Linked DNA regions of Sus scrofa. The protein of the gene in region 3 purifies or fractionates together with the protein of the main gene of each other region. This does not show direct contact. Links are inferred from orthologs where the notes say so. Each region holds a gene or a part of one and is shown on either strand. Other genes may lie near its edges.

Region 1 (5,515 bases), on a different chromosome or scaffold from region 3:
ACCCGCTAGAAACCAGGCCCCAGGAGTGCCCGGGCCCGGCTCTGGGAGGACCCACCCTGAATGTGCCTACTGACCTGTCTACTGACCTTCACAAGCTGTCACCACTGTCGCCGCAAAACTGTCACCTGCAGCCTCATCTGCCCTCGAGCTATGGACACTCACAGGCACTTCAACGCACGCGGCCCAGGCTGAACTCACGTTCTCCCTCGGTTGGTGCCACCACCACCGCCCTCACTGGCCACGCACCTGAGCGCCACCTTCCTCCCCTGTCACTCCACGGCCGTCAACCCACTCCAGACCGTCCCCTCCCCTGGCCGTCCCTGCTTCCAGCTGGGGTCCTCGTGGCGCATCCATTCCCTCCTCCACATTCCCAGCCAGCATCCACGGGCCTCCCGCCACGCGCCAGACGCTTCAGCTCTGCGGAGGCTCAGGTGTTTCAGGTAAGTCGTGACCCGCTCACAGGCACCTGCCACACAGGTCAGGAGCTAAACACACCAAGGGGACAGTGTGGGGACCAGGTGAGCATTAGGGGGGGGCGCTACAGCCTGCTTGCCAGGGTCCTTCTCCCCACTCCCAGGAGCGAGCCTGGGGAGTGCGGGACACAGGCCGAGAGCCCAGAGGGCGATGGGGAGAGAAAGGGCGAGACAGGGGAGCGAGGCTTTCAGCTCATTTGGTGCCAAAGGGGAGTCTCTGAGGGGTGTGAAGAGGACAGGGACGAAGGGAGATCGCCCTGCCTGCCGCGGGGGTGTCTCGAGGGAGCTGGCAGGGTCCCCGGGACGGAGGAGGAGAGGAAGGAGGGCGCCTCGGTGTTGTGGGGGCGAGGCTGGGAGCCACAGAAGGCAGCCCCTGTCTAGGTGGAATGAGGGGGGCGCAGGACCTGGGGAGAGCGGCCGCTAACCTATGACCCACAGAGAAGGCCCCCTGAACCCTTTTTAGGGGCTGGAACGTTCTGTCTCCTCAGGGCACCGGCATGTGCTCGTGCACCCTTGAAATAATTTTTAAAGTCTGCACCTCTCACTACTGAGCTGACAGCGAAGGTTGTTTACAGGATTGAGTCTCTGAAAAGAATGGAATCGCACGTCTGTCAGGCATTTACATCTGCACTTTAAACAGATTTGTGCCAAAGCTTTGAACCTGCAAATGTAGCTCATTCGACGAACGGAAATAATCTACAATTCGTCCTCCCTGTCAAACCTATTTGCCAAATAGCTCTCTGTGCAAGAAGCCCCACACCACCTCCACGTTTCTTAGGTGACTCTAGAGCAACCACACCAACCCTCCAGCCTCTGACTGCAGGAGGACGGCGGATTTCATCCGATGGAATAAAGGGCTGCCCCCTCAATTTCCTTCCTGAAAGAGTTCTAACATCTTTTCACTTTACTCTCCAGTAACGAGAAAACGAGGCCCTGCTCTGACCAAGTCTGCACTTTGCTCCAGCAGACGGACGAAAACAACCAAATGAAGGTGCCTTTCTGCACCTCCACGAGCACCAGGTCCGGCCACGGCGCAGGGGGACCCTCCGCTCTCCCGGCCCCCGTGGCACATGCTGCAGCCTTCGCCCAACCCCAGCGCGGCTAAGGGAGCCCGGGCGGGAAAGACCCCCGGGCCCCGGGCCGCAGGGCCCCCGGGCGGGAGGCTCCCTGAGGGCAGGCCCGTTCCGGGTGAGTCATCCGGCAGCGAGCGGCTGCACGCTCTCGGCCGCGGCCGCGTGGCCCCCGAGCCCGCCCCAACCGTCGGAGCGGAGACCTCCCGCCGGCCGCGCTCGGGCGGCGGCTCCTCCCCGGCCTGCGCGAAGGCAGGCGCCCGGCCAGGAGGAACCCTGCCTCGGGCCTGCGCGGAGCACCGGCGCCTGCCCCCCGCTCCCGCCCATGCCCGCGGGCTCACACCAAAGACGGAAGGACGCTGGAACCTTCGCCTCCGACTCAGTCTAGATGTCGCCGTCCCGACGCAAAGTTGCCCCACAACGACACCTCCGCGGCAGCCATCTTACCCAGAAGCGGCCGACGCCTTTTGACTCTCGCGCCAATCCGTAGAGCGAGGGCGCCGCGAGGGGAGTTCTGCGCAAGGGCGGAAGCTGGGGTTCCGCGCTTCCGGTGGGCCGCTTCGCCCCGCCCCCCCTTCGGGAGCACTTGATTGGCTGCCGGCTCTCGAGCTGGCGATCTCGCGGGAAGTGGCTGAGGGGGCGGCCGCCGGTGCGTCTGCCCTCCCGTTCCCCGCCCCCGCCTCCGCCGCGGCCCCCGCCTCCACCTCCCCCTCCCCGGCGTCGCCGCCCCCTCCCCGCCCAGCCCGGCCCCCCGCGCGGCCGCGAAGACCCCCCCCCCGAAGCGCGGCAGGCGGGATCCGAACGGTAAGATGGCCGCGGCGGGCCCGGGCGGTCGGGCCCAGCGTTCCCGCGGGAGCGCGGCGGGGCGGGGGCGGGGAGCGGAGGGCCCCGGGAGGGGAGGGGCCGGGCCGGGGTCGGGGCCGGGGAGGACGGGCGCGGGGCGGGAGAGGGGAGAGGGGCCGGAGAGGGGGTTGGGCCGGGGCGTCCCGCGCCAGGGCCTTCCGGGTCGAAGGTCCGAGCAGGACCGAATCGGGCCGCGTTCTCGCGGGAGGCGGCGCTCGCAGGGTTTGCGAGTCAACCTGCCTCCCTCCTCGCTAGCCGCGGCGGAGCCCGGGTCCGGGATTCAGTGTGTGTTCCCGACCCGAGCGCCTTTCGAGGGAAGGCTGCAGCCTTGAGGGGCGGTCGCCTGCTGGGGTGATGGTTGTCGACACGGCGCACTTGTGTCGCAAGGGAACTGTTTGGACACAGAGCCGCTTCAGAGCGGAGGTCCAAGTGCTGAGGTCGGACGCTGCCGCTTGGGGAGCTGGGGTCCCGCGCCCTCGGAGCTGGGGTGGTTCCCGGGTCCGTTCTCCAGCGCTGTTACATCAGCTCTCGCTCTGTTGTCTGGGAGTCAGGGTTGGATCTGAGGGAGTTACGCCGCTGGTCGTGAAGTTGGCCGTAGCCGCGAGGGCTAGGTGTGCGCTGGAAGGACCGCAGCTCCCGCTTAGGTCTTCCTACAAGCTAAGTTTGCTTTCGCCGCGCCTCCTCCTCTGCTGATCCGAGTTGGGCACGGCGTCCCCGCTACCGAGGACTTGGTCTGGCGCCCCTCTGCTCCCCACGCCCACTCTCTCCCTGGGCAGCCTTGGCGGAATCCGGGCTTTCAGTCTTGGTGTGGCGCATGTTTCCCTAATGAATGCTTCCGGCGCTGAGCTCGGGACCTGTGATCCAGGTGCCGCCTTGACTCCTGCGGCGTGTGTAATAGGCAGCCCAAACTGGCCTGGCTCCTCAAACCTGTTCCTCTCCCAGTCCTTCCTCCTCACTTGCGGCTCCACGCGCCAGGGTCTCCCGGTCTCCATGGTCCTCATCGCATTGGTTCTGTTGTCCTTCCACGTGAGGTCCAGCAGCAGACACCTGGCTCGGTGTCCTCAGGTGGGCTCTGCCCTCTGGCTCTTGCATAGCTGCTCTTCCTTGTCCGGGTGGCCCCTGGCTCATCCTCCGGCTCAGCCCTCACCACCCACAGTCCTCCCACGTCTGCCGGGAAACCAGAGCGTCCTTTAGGCTTCATGTCTGGACGCAATTTCAGATGTACTTTGCTGGATGTAAGGTAATATCCGCAACACCTTTGTCAGTAACAGGGGTAAAACTGAAGTGGACTCACCGTCTGTCTCGAGAGCCTGCCTGCTGCTCCCAGGGACCCTCTCCCAGGGGTGACCGCCTCCCGAGGGTCATGTTTCAGGCCCTCACAACAACAACAAAGCAGTTTTGTTTGTGTGTGTGTGTGTGTGTGTGTATGGCTGAACACTTTCTTTTTCTCTTTACATCCTGACCTGCGGCCTGTGGAAGCTCCTGGGCTAGGGGTCGAGTTGGAGCCACAGCCACAGGCCTCCATAACGCCGGGTCCAGGCCACCGCAGCCTTCGGCAATGCCAGATCCTTCACCCATCCAGCGAGGCCAGGGATCAAACCTGCGTCCTCACGGACACTGTCAGGCTCTTAACCTGCTGCGTCACAACGGGAACTCCCCAGATGGTCTCTGTACAGTCTGAGCAATTCTAAGTTCTGAAACCAGTCTGTGCCAGGGTTTCGGAGCTGGGCCTGTGGTCCGGGAAGCACAGGATGTTTGTCCGTGCTGCTGTTGGATGAACTCTGGGTGCACGGCCTCCACACTGTGCCATTTTGCACAGTCTGTGCACGGGCTGGTGTGTGTCAGCCCAGTGGTGAGTTTTGGAGGGACTCCGTCCAGCGGGAGGAGCTGCGCGCGTCTGCGTGCAGGCAGATCTGGGGGAGCCCAGGGTCGGGTGGGGAGAGCCCCGTGGCTCTGTTAACTCTCGCTGCCGTCGGACCTTTCCCTTTCTGCCTGGCCAGTGGCTGTGGGACGCAGGCTTCTCTCAGGCACACACAGCAGCCGGGACTTCAGCCTGTACCTCCCGCAGCCGCCCTCTGCTTAGGAGAGGGTCCCTCTAGAGCTCTCCCTCGGCCTGGAGGGCTCTAGTCTGACCCCAGCTGACCGCCAGACCTTGGTTCTAAGACCGTCAGCGCTTCCTCGCGTCCGTCTTACCTTCCAGACACCGACCGTGTTGAGGCTCAGGTCCTTTGCACTTGCTGTTTTCCACATCGCAAGTATCTGCCCCCTCTGCCTTTTACTTCTTGCTCTGTCGCTGTGTTTGTTTCCAAAATGTTCGCAGCTGACACACAATTCTTCGTCGGTTCCTCAAACATTCCTTTTTCCCCCGTAGAAGTAATTCGGAATGAGTTACGCGGAAAAACCCGACGAGATCACGAAGGACGAGTGGATGGAGAAGCTCAACAACTTGCACGTCCAGCGAGCAGACATGAACCGCCTCATCATGAACTACCTGGTCACAGGTAACGGGCTGCGCTGAGGCCGTGCCGCTCGGACAGGCTCCTCCCGGGCTGTGCCCAGCAGGCCTTACCACGGCCCTGCCCCGCGGTCAGGCCTCAGCCAAACGCAGTGCGGACACAGTGACCTTGCAGCGATCGTTTTAAAGGGATGCCCCTTCTCTGGAGCCGATGTCACGGTCCTAGGGCTCCGGGACCAGAGGCCAAGCCCTGCTGCTCGGCCTTGGACGTCTTTGTAACTGGCCGGAGTAGCGAGGGTCATTCTGAGTCAACGCGAAGGCCGGGCTGGCCCGTTTGGCCAGCCACTGCCCCTCAGTGCCCCTGACCCTGGAGAGGAGGAGGGTGGCTCTGGGCGCTGGGAGACCACCTACGGGTCTCCAGAGGGTGCGAGTCTCCTCCTGGGGGTTCCGGGTGCCCGCCCCCGGCCCGGGTCCATCTCTGTTAGGGCTCCTTTCTGACAAGCGTTAGGAAGCAGCGGCCTGAAGCTGTGTGCGCACGTGTGTCGGCGGGCGGAGCGCTGTGGGTGGCGTTGCTTTCATGTCCAAGGGGGTCACGGACTCACCAAAGGGGCAGTGGCTGCGTCCTGCCAGCCGCCAGGGCCCTGCTTCCCCGGCCGGCCGGACAGCTTCTCCCC
Region 2 (5,483 bases), on a different chromosome or scaffold from region 3:
CCGTGCCCGAGAGGTGACTGAGGCCTGCGGAGATGCCCGGTCGGCTGCCCGGAGCAGACACTCCCCCAGAGCAGAGCTGGGTTGGGGCCAGCTCCAGCTTCCCCTGGGGAGTCAGGAACAGCAGGTGACAGGCTGAAGTGGGTGCGGCCTTCTCACCCACTGTGCCCCATGTGCCCCCCAGTGCCCAGGCCAGTTTGGGTGCTCTCATCCCGTGGAGGAAAAGGTGCCACTGCCGGGTTGGGCTGGAGTGTCCTTCTGCCCTCAGGTTGAGCACAGCCTAAACCTACCTCCTGACCCCGAGTGCCCTGCCCCCAGGCCTCTGCTGGATGCTGCCTCCTCTGGGGGCGCCCCCCCTCCAGCCTGTTCCACCCGGCGCCTTCTGGTTGGCCCCTTGCCCTAGTACAGCCAGTGTGTGGAAGGACGGCAGTGGGGTCTCGGCCTAGGTGCCCTGCAGATGTATAAATGGCTCTCTGGGCCTGGGCGCTGCGGGGTTAGGGCAGGGCCAGTCTGTACTGAGGACACGCGCTGCGCAGCGACCTGGGAGGACCACGCGGACACAGCCCCCAGAGGCAAGCCCTGTCCTGTGGCGCAGCAGTCCTGCACTGGAGCTGGCAGGAGGTGCGGCTGCTGGCTGTGTGGGGAGACCCGGGTGCGGGGTCACAGCGTGGCCCTTCCTGCCAGCAGTCATGCCTTGGCGGTCGGTCCCCAGGACAGGCTGCACGGGGTCTGTCTCCTGCGGGGGGGGTGTGTGTCTCCGGGGTGCTGCACTCCTAACCCACATCGTGTTGCTTGGTGTCCCTGTACTATGTGCGACTTGGATCATTTTGCCTGGTGTCCCCATCGTGTGCGTGGGGACCGCGGCGTTGATGGAGGACGCGCGGCCCGTCCTGTCCGCTCCTCAGCTGGTCTGCGGTTGTGGTGGGGGCCCCGTGTGGGTTTCTGGGCTCTGGTGGCGACGGGGCGGCGGGCCGGGGGCCTTCGCGGCCGCGCAGGAAGCGGCCTCCGCCGGATGAGGGGCCTGGGGCGCCGCCGTCGCCCCCGCGGAGCCGCCTTCCGGCGGGTGGGGCCGATCGGCGCCGAACAGCGCTGAACCCCTGGCGGCTGCGGCCGAGCGGAGCCGAGCGGAGCCGAGCAGACCCGAGTCCCCGGCGGGCTGGGCCGAGCGGAGCCGAGTCCCGGGCGGACGGGCCCGAGCGCGGCCGAGCGCGGCCGAGCGCCGGGCGTGGGCGGGGGGAGCGCGCGTTCCTGGAAGAGCCGGGTCGGGGGGCCGGCGCATTCCAGGCCGGCGCTCGGCTGAGGCGGACGCGCGGCCCCAGACGACGCGCGGGGCGGGGCGGCGGCGCGGCGCGGGGCGGGGCGCGGGGCGGGGCGGCGGCGTGAGCTCAGCGCCCGGCGCTCAGTCCGAGCTGGAGCGAGCCGCCGGGAGGATGTGCGCCGATCTCCGCGCCGCCGCCGCCGCCGCGGTCTGAGGCCGCCGCCACAGGCGCTCCGCCGCCCCGGAAGCCGCGCGCGCGCGCGCGCGGGCGGGCGGGCAGGCCGCGGAGCCGGGCGCGGGCGGCGGGGTGGGCGCGGGCCGGGCCGGGAGGCCGGCGGCGGGCGCGACGCGGCCGGCCAGCGCCGCCGGGACGAGCCGGGCGGGCGCCGCGCGGTGGGAGGAGCGGGGCGGCGGCGGCGGCGCGCCGCGCGAGGACGGCCCGGCGGGCCCCGCGCCCGCGCCCCCGCTCCTCCCGGGCCCCTCGGCCTCGGCCGCCGCGGCGATTCGCGCCTCGCGGCGCCGGCACCTGCCCGCGCGCCCCCCGCGAGCCCCGGGCCCGCGAGCGTTGGCGTTGGCGTTGGCGGCGCGCGCTGGGGCATGCCCCGCGCCTAGGGCCCGGGGGGCGCGCGGGGGGCGCGCGGGGGCCCGGGCGGCGGCGGGCGCGGCGCGGGGCGCGTGGATGTGGCGCCGGGCCCGGGCGGCGGCGGGCTGCAGCGGCGGGACCCCTTCGCCCCGCCCGCCTTCCCCTTCGCGCCCCCGGGCGAGGCCGAGGCCGCGGCCGTGATCGGCCGGGAGCCGGTGGCGGGGGGCGGCCGGGGCCGGGGCCGGGGGCGCCGCCGGGGCGCGCGGGGCGGCGGCGGCGGGGGCCGCGGGGGCCCGGGCGCGCGGGAGCGGGAGCGGCCTGGGGAGCCGGAGCGCACCATGGAGGCGGCGGCGGGCGGCCGGGGCGGCTTTCAGCCGCACCCGGGGCTGCAGAAGACGCTGGAGCAGTTCCACCTGAGCTCCATGAGCTCGCTGGGCGGCCCGGCCGCCTTCTCGGCGCGCTGGGCGCAGGAGGCCTACAAGAAGGAGAGCGCCAAGGAGGCGGGCGCGGCCGCGGTGCCGGCGCCGGTGCCCGCGGCCGCCGAGCCTCCGCCGGTGCTGCACCTGCCCGCCATCCAGCCGCCGCCGCCCGTGCTGCCCGGGCCCTTCTTCATGCCGTCCGACCGCTCCACGGAGCGCTGCGAGACCGTGCTGGAGGGCGAGACCATCTCGTGCTTCGTGGTGGGCGGCGAGAAGCGCCTGTGTCTGCCGCAGATCCTCAACTCGGTGCTGCGCGACTTCTCGCTGCAGCAGATCAACTCGGTGTGCGACGAGCTGCACATCTACTGCTCGCGCTGCACGGCCGACCAGCTGGAGATCCTCAAAGTCATGGGCATCCTGCCCTTCTCGGCGCCCTCGTGCGGGCTCATCACCAAGACGGACGCCGAGCGCCTGTGCAACGCGCTGCTCTACGGCGGCGCCTACCCGCCGCCCTGCAAGCAGGAGCTGGCCGCCAGCCTGGCGCTGGGCCTGGAGCGCAGCGAGCGCAGCGTGCGCGTGTACCACGAGTGCTTCGGCAAGTGCAAGGGACTGCTGGTCCCCGAGCTGTACAGCAGCCCGAGCGCCGCCTGCATCCAGTGCCTGGACTGCTCTCTCCTGTACCCACCGCATAAGTTCGTGGTGCACTCGCACAAGGCCCTGGAGAACCGGACCTGCCACTGGGGCTTCGACTCGGCCAACTGGCGGGCCTACATCCTGCTGAGCCAGGACTACACCGGCAAGGAGGAGCAGGCGCGCCTCGGCAGATGCCTGGACGACGTCAAGGAGAAGTTCGACTACGGCAACAAGTACAAGAGGCGGGCGCCCCGGGTGAGTGTCCTGCGAGCGGCGGCGGCGCGCCTGGGGGGGGGCGGCGGCGGTGGGGGGGGGGTGGTGGCTGTGGGCAGGGGCTGGGGCGCGCGGTGCGACCTGTGCTTCCTCCGCCTCCACACGTCTCGGTGTTTTGTTTTGTTTTGTTTTAAGGAGACTGGGGTGGGGGGGCAGGGGAGTGTCCTTGTCCCCCTAGAGGGCCAGGTAGCCCGGGAGGAAGAGCCTCCTGTCTGACTCCCAGCCTGAGCCAGGCTGGCCTGGTTGGGAGCCCTGGGGAGCCTGGGGCAGGCTTGGTGGGCGAAGCCTTGCTGAGGCCCACGGTCATTGCCCAGACAGCCGGGAGGGGCAGGCTGCAGACCTTGGACTCTCTGTCCCGAGTCCCCGGGAAAGTGGTTCTGGCTGGGCCCAAGCTGGAGCTCCAAGTCCAGTCCTTCCTCGGGCCCAAAGCAAGTGTCCAGCCCCCATGCGCGAGGGGGACTGCCCTGGCCCCCAAGCTCCCAGGCTCGCACACGGGGTGCCTGGCACTTCCCAGCAGGCAGAACTTGGCCAGGCGGGGCCTGTTTGTGCCTTGAAGTCTCGGGAGACAGACTCAAAGCCCAAGCCAGGTGTCCAGGCCCTGGTGGCAGGGGGCCGAGACTTGGCGACTCCAGCTCTCTGTGTCTGCCCTGGCCTGGCAGGCAGTGAATTGTGGAGTCCCCCGTGTGGGGGCGAGGGCTGCTTGGCACAGGGCTTGGGGACTGGTCAGCGGGCACCCAGGGCCCCGGGTGTCAGGGTAGCCGCCGGCCTGTGATTCGTTTTGGACATGTCCTTATCTCCTTGTTTCCTTCTCGCTGAAACGCCGAAGGGTGCAGCAGGGAGGCCGCTGGCCGAGGCGCTGTTGTTTGCCAGGCTGGGGGTCTGTGTGATCCGGCCTGGCTGCTCCCGGGCCACCAGGCGCCCCAGCCCTCCATCAGGGTCGACACCAACTTTTCATGGCGTCTTCCCCCCGCCCCAAGTATTTGCAACTTTTCTTTGAAATATGCAGGCTTATTAAATTGCACACACAGAATGCTGCACTGGCTCAGCTATTCTTGGGAGGCCTAATTAATTCAGCTATTGCATCAAACTTTTTTTTTTCCAAATCTGTGAATAGATGCTCCCCCCAGTTCTCTCTGGGCGCCTCTCCAGCGGAGTGTCAGAGTCTCAGGGAGCGGAGGAGGGGAGGGAATAAGGGCCTGCTGCCCGCGCTCAGAGGGGCCACCGCGTGTGCGTCCGTGTATCTGGTGGTGGTGCTGCCCTTGGCTAGGCCAGCGCCCAGGTGGCAGCTGTCTGCAGGCTGTGGAGTTGGCACGGGGTGGGGGAGCCGGTCTGGGTGGGCAGCTCGGTGGGGGAGGGTGCCCATGGGAACGGCTGCCGGCAGATCTCAGCAGGCTGGCCAGGCCCGTCGTGCAGGCTGCTGTTGGCTGTGGGTGGCGTGATGGGTGCTCCCCGGGGCCTGGGGTGCCCGCTCCCTCGACAGCCATCTTGCCGGCGCTGGTGGGTTCTGGCGGGCTGGTTAAGCCTGTGGTGGGCAAGGCTGTGGCGGGTTCCTCTGCTCCAGAGTGGACAGCAGAGGGTCCACGGGTGGTTGGGACTGCGGCAGGGTGTGTGCCCGTCTGGGTCCTGGTCTGGGTCCTGGGTGGTTGGGACTGTCTTGCTGGGGTCTGCTTTTTGTCATCGCTGAAGGCCCTTCCGGGCCCTGGTGTCCGCAGGCTCAGGGAAGGCCTGGCCCAAGCTGGTGGCCTGGAGGGGAGGCCGGAGCATGCTGGTGATTTCAACAGATGGTCAGCGCCCCGTCCTCCTCCGCTGCTCTCCGCAGTGCTGCTCGGAAACCTCGTTTCCTGCTTAGAAAAACGCCACGGGTGACGATGAAGACAGGGTCATCGGAAGGGGTTGGAGTCTCCGGGTCTCAGTGTCACCCCGCCCTTGGTGACCAGGGTCGCGGGCCTCCTCCAGGCCCCGGCTGCTGGCCGGCCGCTCCCTGGCTCCCCCCCCCCGCCCCCCGTCTTGGGACCCGCCGCCCTGGCCCTGTGGCTGAGCAGCCGGGAATTCTGGGGTGCCTGGTCCCTTTGGGGTGCGCCCGGCCGTGCCCTTGCCTGTCTACCCGCCAGCGACACCCGGGAGGAGGCGGGGGTCTCAGCCTCAGGGTTGTTCTGGAGGCAGCAGCCTAGACAGACCCTCCCTCCCAGTGCCTGCTCGGGCCCCGCTCCGCCCGCTCCTCGCGCCCGGGTCTTCATGGAGTCTGTTTTGACTTTTTTCCGCCTCTTTTCTGGCTTATTTAAATATGTTTGTCCCACTGAGAACGAGGCCCGAAGGGAAC
Region 3 (5,316 bases):
TAATGATGTCTTGCTAGTTGGGGGGAGGAATGTGAAACTAGTTTATGAGACAGATCAGGGCTAGAGAGAAGCAATTTGAATGTGTTCTCCAAGGACAGCAGGTAAAGAGAAAAGAGAACGTTGAGGACAGAACCTGGGGCAAATACCGATCCACAAAGGTGGCTAAATGAGAAAAGAGCCAGGAGGGGAGAAGGGGTGACTGAACCATACCGTGGCAATGCCCTGGAGGTCAAGGAAGAATTTTAAAGTTGTGATGGTGGGTCACAACTTTCAAATGTAGCAGTGAGGTCAAGGGGAAAAAAAAAAAGACAGAAAAGGATGACAGAGCTTATCAAGAAGATCCTTGGAGAAACAGGAGGAACAAGAGTGGAGGATTTTTTCGGGCAGCCTGGCCATGAAAAGACTGAGCAGAAAAGGGAAACAGCCTAAGGAGGGTTGAATGAAGGCTCTCCCCACATCCTCAGGTCAGCTGGCCACTTAAAAAGGGAGAAGGCACGCCTTTTCTGTTGGGTACTTGACAACAGTTCATAAAATGGATACAACAGATGGACACACTTTGAGAAGGGTGACAGAAGGTGCTGGAGTTGAATGTTTTTTACCTTCTCAGTGAAGGAGGAATCAGGGCCACCTGTCAAGGGAGAGAGGAGAAAGGAAAACAGGTTAGGTGGGGAAGAGAAAGGCCATGTGTAAGAGCAACAGTGCGGCTGCCCTTGAGTATCACGGAGAACTAAATAAAACGACTAGGTAGGTGCTGGACCAACGTGATTCCATGATTTTTAAGTTGCCATCTCATATTTACTCCTGGGAACTGACACTAGTAGCAACCACCACTGTTTATCATGTAGTTATCATGTGCTACTGGGTGTTTACCTAAATTATCTTCATTTTCCTAACAATAGATCGAAGTATTATTAGTTCTAATTATTACCAAACTATAAAAAGAGACACTGAGGCTCAAAAAGGTTTTACCTTAATAATAATAATAATAAAAAGACCAGGTACTATGTTGCCAATCACTGTTCTGGGCACAGAAAACAGAGGCCAGGGGGCTGCCTTAGCGCTTTATTGAAGGAGTGCAGACAGAAAAGTGAATGAAAATAACTGAAACAGATAACAAGTGGTGAGAAAATAGTAAAACGGCTATGATTGACCATAATAAATATGGTGTAGTAATGGAGGAGGGAATGTGGTCAGGGGGGGACCCTCTGTGGTACAAGTGAGCCGAAAATTTTAGGATGACACGATGGAAGAGTTTTCTAGTCCAAAGAAAGGCTAAGTACAGAGGTCCTGAGGCAAGCATCAACTTGGCTTCTAGGAGGAACGCTAAGCTAAGGTCGGGGCAGTCACAGCTTAGTGAGCAAGTAGGTACAGGCCAAGGTAGGAGGCGCCATGGCAAGTCAGGGGAAGGATTCACGCGAAGGGGGTAACTCCATCGGAAGCAATGGAATAACGAGCCGAAGAGGCAGGAGCCAGGCTGCCCCGAGGTCCGACGCAAGTTTCCCTTCCGTGATGCTGCCCCCGGGGTGAGGCAACCCGTCAGGAGAGTCCCAGGGGCCAAAGGGCCGAGGCCCGCGGGGGTGGGGGTGGAGGTGTAAGGCTTGTGACCTCCCGGTGTAGCGAGAATCGAGGCAGGATCGCGGGCCACGCCCGGCCAACAAGCAGCCCCCTTCTCCCACCTCAGAATCCCCCTCTTCTTATTCCAGTTAGCGACCCCCGCCCGCAGCACCACCCACTCCGCTCGGCCTGGCTGGATTTTTCCTCGGGGCGGCGAGTCTGCTTTCCAAAACTTGGAGAAGACAGTACCCTCAGGAATGACAGGGAGATGAAATAACTCAGGGCTGGGGCGAAGTCCTATGGGAAATAGGCCTTTTTATTTCTGCCTTGTTTTCCCTCACGGCTTTCCAGAAACGACTTGCTTCCCAGGATGCTCTCCAAATCACCCCCTCCAACAGCGAGACTATTGGTTTGGCCTCTAGTCCCAGATTGGCTGAAGGATTAGGCCTCGGCCAGGGATTGGAGGACGTTCGTTCCTTACGTATTCTCGGCGCTTATTGGTTCGTTTTCTCCGTTTCTGGGCGGAGTGGTGACGGGCGGTTTCCACCCTCTTGTTTACGGAGCGCGTAGTTGTAGCGCTCTCGGAGCTCTGGGGCTGGCTCCAAAGTTCCCTATTTAGCTCCTCGGCCCAATTGGATCTTTGCTCCGCCCTCTCCCGCTCCCTTGCACGCCTCCCGCGTGGTAGGGCCCACACCTTTAGAGCGGCGGCGCGAGCGGACGCTCGTCACGTTCCTCCGCCCGCGCTCGCCGGCCGCCTCCCCCCGCCACGAGCGTGCGCTTGGTACGGCCCCCGCCGCCTCCATCCCTCGCTGGGGTGGCTGCCCCCCCTCGGGTCGGCGGCGCTTGGTGCCGCCCGGGAGAACCAGGTCATCGGTCGGTTCCCGTGAAAACAAAAACAATCGGCGGCGCCGCGTCGGACAGCGAACGCGGCGAGCGGGGGCTCGGGGCCGGGTGGGAAGAACGAGCGGGAGCAGCGGCGACGCGCCGGGGTCGGGGCGCCATGGGGCAGGCGGGCGCGGGCTGCGCGGAGCTCCCTCGGCGCCGGGGCTAGCGCGTCCGCCTCTTCAGTCTCCCGTGCCGCCCGCTTGGGGGACGAGGAGCAGGACGCGGCCTCGGCCGGGCCCGGGCCGAACGGCTGCGGACACCCGGGCGCTGGGCAGCCGAGCGCCGCTGCCGCCACCGCCTCCGGGATGGATCAGTGCGTGACGGTGGAGCGCGAGCTGGAGAAGGTGCTGCACAAGTTCTCGGGCTACGGGCAGCTGTGCGAGCGCGGCCTGGAGGAGCTTATCGACTACACGGGCGGCCTCAAGCACGAGATCCTGCAGAGCCACGGTAGGGCGGCCCGGGTGGGCGCGCGGGGCCAGGCCTCGGCGGGCCAGGAAGGGTGGCCTCCGGGGGCCTCGGCTCCTCCTTCCCTGCGGCCCTTTTGGCTTTTTCCTGCTTCTCTCTCCGGTTTTGTCTCCAACTTACCCCGACCTCGTTGTTAATTAAGAGTGAGCCCGAACCCACCCGGAAAACCAATTCTGAAGCCTGGGGCTCCAGCCCAGGTTAAACGGGGGTGGGGCCGTCCGTCGCACCTGCAAACTGCCGCCCTCCCGGGCTGGGCTCCCCTGGTCAGTTGCCTTGGGCATAAGGCTCTGGGTAAACAGAGAGTCAGTGCAGGGAGCCCCCTCTTTCTTCTCTGCCCCAAACTCTTAGCGCAGAGACTTACTTTTCTCGTCTTTCCTTTTCTTTCTTTTTCTTTTTTTTTTTAAATTAGAAAGTTGAGTGTTATTCTTAGCTGTGGGTTAACAGAACAGCCGCTTCTGCAACTCCATAATTTAACTCTGTGTGGAAGCAGTTTTTCTTTAATTCGGCAGCGGCACTGACTTGATTGCTAGGAAACTAGCTGAACCAAACTGTTCAGCTCTCCTCCTGGAGCCAGTGATGAGACGGAGGAACTCTCCAGAAACACATTGTGGCACAAGTTGGTAGTTAACTTGCTTACCTGGTCAAGTTTTTAACTTGTTTTCCTTTCAGAAAACAGATTTTCTATAGTAGGTGTTTTTCCTATATGGTTACTGCCTAGACCCTGGGGGCAGATACTTTGCCAAAGTTTAATTTGTGGAAGCTGCTTGGGAAGGGTTTGTTTTTTTTTGTTTTTTAAATAACATTCAACGTCTGATGTTTGAATTTAAATATCCACAGTGGTGATTCCTTCTGAGCCAGAAGTAAAGGACTTTATGTGATGGATTTATTGAAGAGCTGTTCGGAGGCCTTTTCAACTTGGAGGCAGAACAGAATTTTTTTGAAAAGGAAGGTTTGGGGGGATGTGTAGACCTGGCAGGTGAGGTTGAGGAGAGTGGTCCTAGTTGAGCCTCTCTCCACCGCTCCTTCTTTCTTGCACACCTTCCTTTCCCAGACTGCTTTATCCTGAGAGTTAGTGCTTCTGAAGGGGAAGTAGACCTAGAGTGGGGTGGGACTCTGGGGAGGTGCTGGTGAACTTGGTTTTGGACAAGTGAGAAGCTGAAGGGCTAATGAAGATTGAGTCAAGAGCTCAGTGATATTTTCTGGTGGCTGAAGATACATAGGTGGAGTTTGGGAGGAGGTAAGGTCTAGGGTGGTTTCCTGGTGTCCTTTCTGCGGGAGAGGGAAGGAGAGCCCTTAGGCCACAGGGAGGAAAGACTTTAGGATCTAAGCATAGCCTTGAAGCGTGGAAGGCCAGGAGGAGCCTGCAGAAAGGACGGGTTTAGAGAAAGAGAGGTTGGTCAAGGTTTGTGGCTGCTGGGAGTCAGTGACCCTCTTTACTTGCAGTTTCATAGAATTGTTAAAATAAACTAGGTGACAGAGAGGTAAGAAGAATGTGCAGATCAAGGTGAAGGGGGCTGCTTCAGTAAAGGGACTGAAGGAGTGCCCCTCCCCCTCCACTGGGGAGGAAATCTTGGTCTTGTTAAAGACTGAAAGGGAAGGAGTGAGTGAAGGGTGTAGACTTGGAGAGGCAGAAGGAACATTTCAGTTTTACTGACCAGGTCAGAGATTGAGGGCTGGGTTAGGCAGAGCTTGAGAGAGAGAAGATGGAAAGTAAAATCCCTTTCTTCCCTGAGAGAGAGAGAGAGAGAGAGAGAGAGAGAGATAGAGGGCATGCTAATTGAAGGGGGATGTGGTTGTGAACCTTGTTGTAGGGGATTTGGGGTCCATCCCGGGTGGACAAAATAATTTGGAGAAATTGCTAAAGTGGGAATTTTAGACCTCCTCGCTTGTTATTGGGGAACTTTTCAAGGAATTTACAGCCAGTAGGATATTAGCCACAGAGTTTGCTGGGCTGTTTAAAAAGTCTGATGTGATGAATTGCTCATGTTTTCTTTTCAGCCTCCTGCTTTTTACTTTGTCTACCAAATTGCAGTCTTATATTGATATCTCTGATTTTCTCCAATTCTTTGCTAATAGGATGACATGACTAAAGGCAACTATAAAATATGAAAAAAATACTGCTTAAATGCCAAGTCTCATTTTCAAAATAAAACCTTCCTTATGGTGTTCTTATGTACGAAGTCAGTAAACATCAGGTTTTGGTATCTGGGTTATGATATTTTCAAAGCAGATAAAATCCTCTGCAGGCAGTGTGGGTATTACGCTGAATCTGAGATATACCCATCTGAAAGTTATATCTACTGAAATCTGAGTTTGGAACTCCATTTTCAAGTGTAATGGGAAATTTCCAAGGCTTTGAATGTACCTGTCTGGGCAAGTGATCTCGTGGGCTTCTATGACCTGAGGGAGGGG

Evidence for each region.
Region 1: the proteins of RMND5A (region 3) and GID8 purify together in Homo sapiens (affinity purification with mass spectrometry; 5 studies listed by BioGRID and IntAct, counting the BioPlex papers as one, with this or other methods). This does not show direct contact. The link is inferred for Sus scrofa from reciprocal best matches to the Homo sapiens genes RMND5A and GID8.
Region 2: the proteins of RMND5A (region 3) and SKI purify together in Homo sapiens (affinity purification with mass spectrometry; 3 studies listed by BioGRID and IntAct, counting the BioPlex papers as one, with this or other methods). This does not show direct contact. The link is inferred for Sus scrofa from reciprocal best matches to the Homo sapiens genes RMND5A and SKI.

Annotation. Positions count from the first base shown.
Region 1 is NC_010459.5:62,172,062-62,177,576, forward strand, and holds the start of GID8 (glucose-induced degradation protein 8 homolog), read left to right. Parts: upstream 1-2,160; 5' UTR 2,161-2,347; intron 2,348-2,508; exon of another isoform or gene 2,509-4,757; 5' UTR 4,758-4,769; coding exon 4,770-4,887; intron 4,888-5,515. UniProt on the Homo sapiens protein: Core component of the CTLH E3 ubiquitin-protein ligase complex that selectively accepts ubiquitin from UBE2H and mediates ubiquitination and subsequent proteasomal degradation of the transcription factor HBP1.
Region 2 is NC_010448.4:64,186,137-64,191,619, forward strand, and holds the start of SKI (ski oncogene), read left to right. Parts: upstream 1-2,128; 5' UTR 2,129-2,176; coding exon 2,177-3,145; intron 3,146-5,483. UniProt on the Homo sapiens protein: May play a role in terminal differentiation of skeletal muscle cells but not in the determination of cells to the myogenic lineage. Functions as a repressor of TGF-beta signaling.
Region 3 is NC_010445.4:58,093,650-58,098,965, reverse strand, and holds the start of RMND5A (protein RMD5 homolog A), read left to right. Parts: upstream 1-2,113; 5' UTR 2,114-2,744; coding exon 2,745-2,886; intron 2,887-5,316.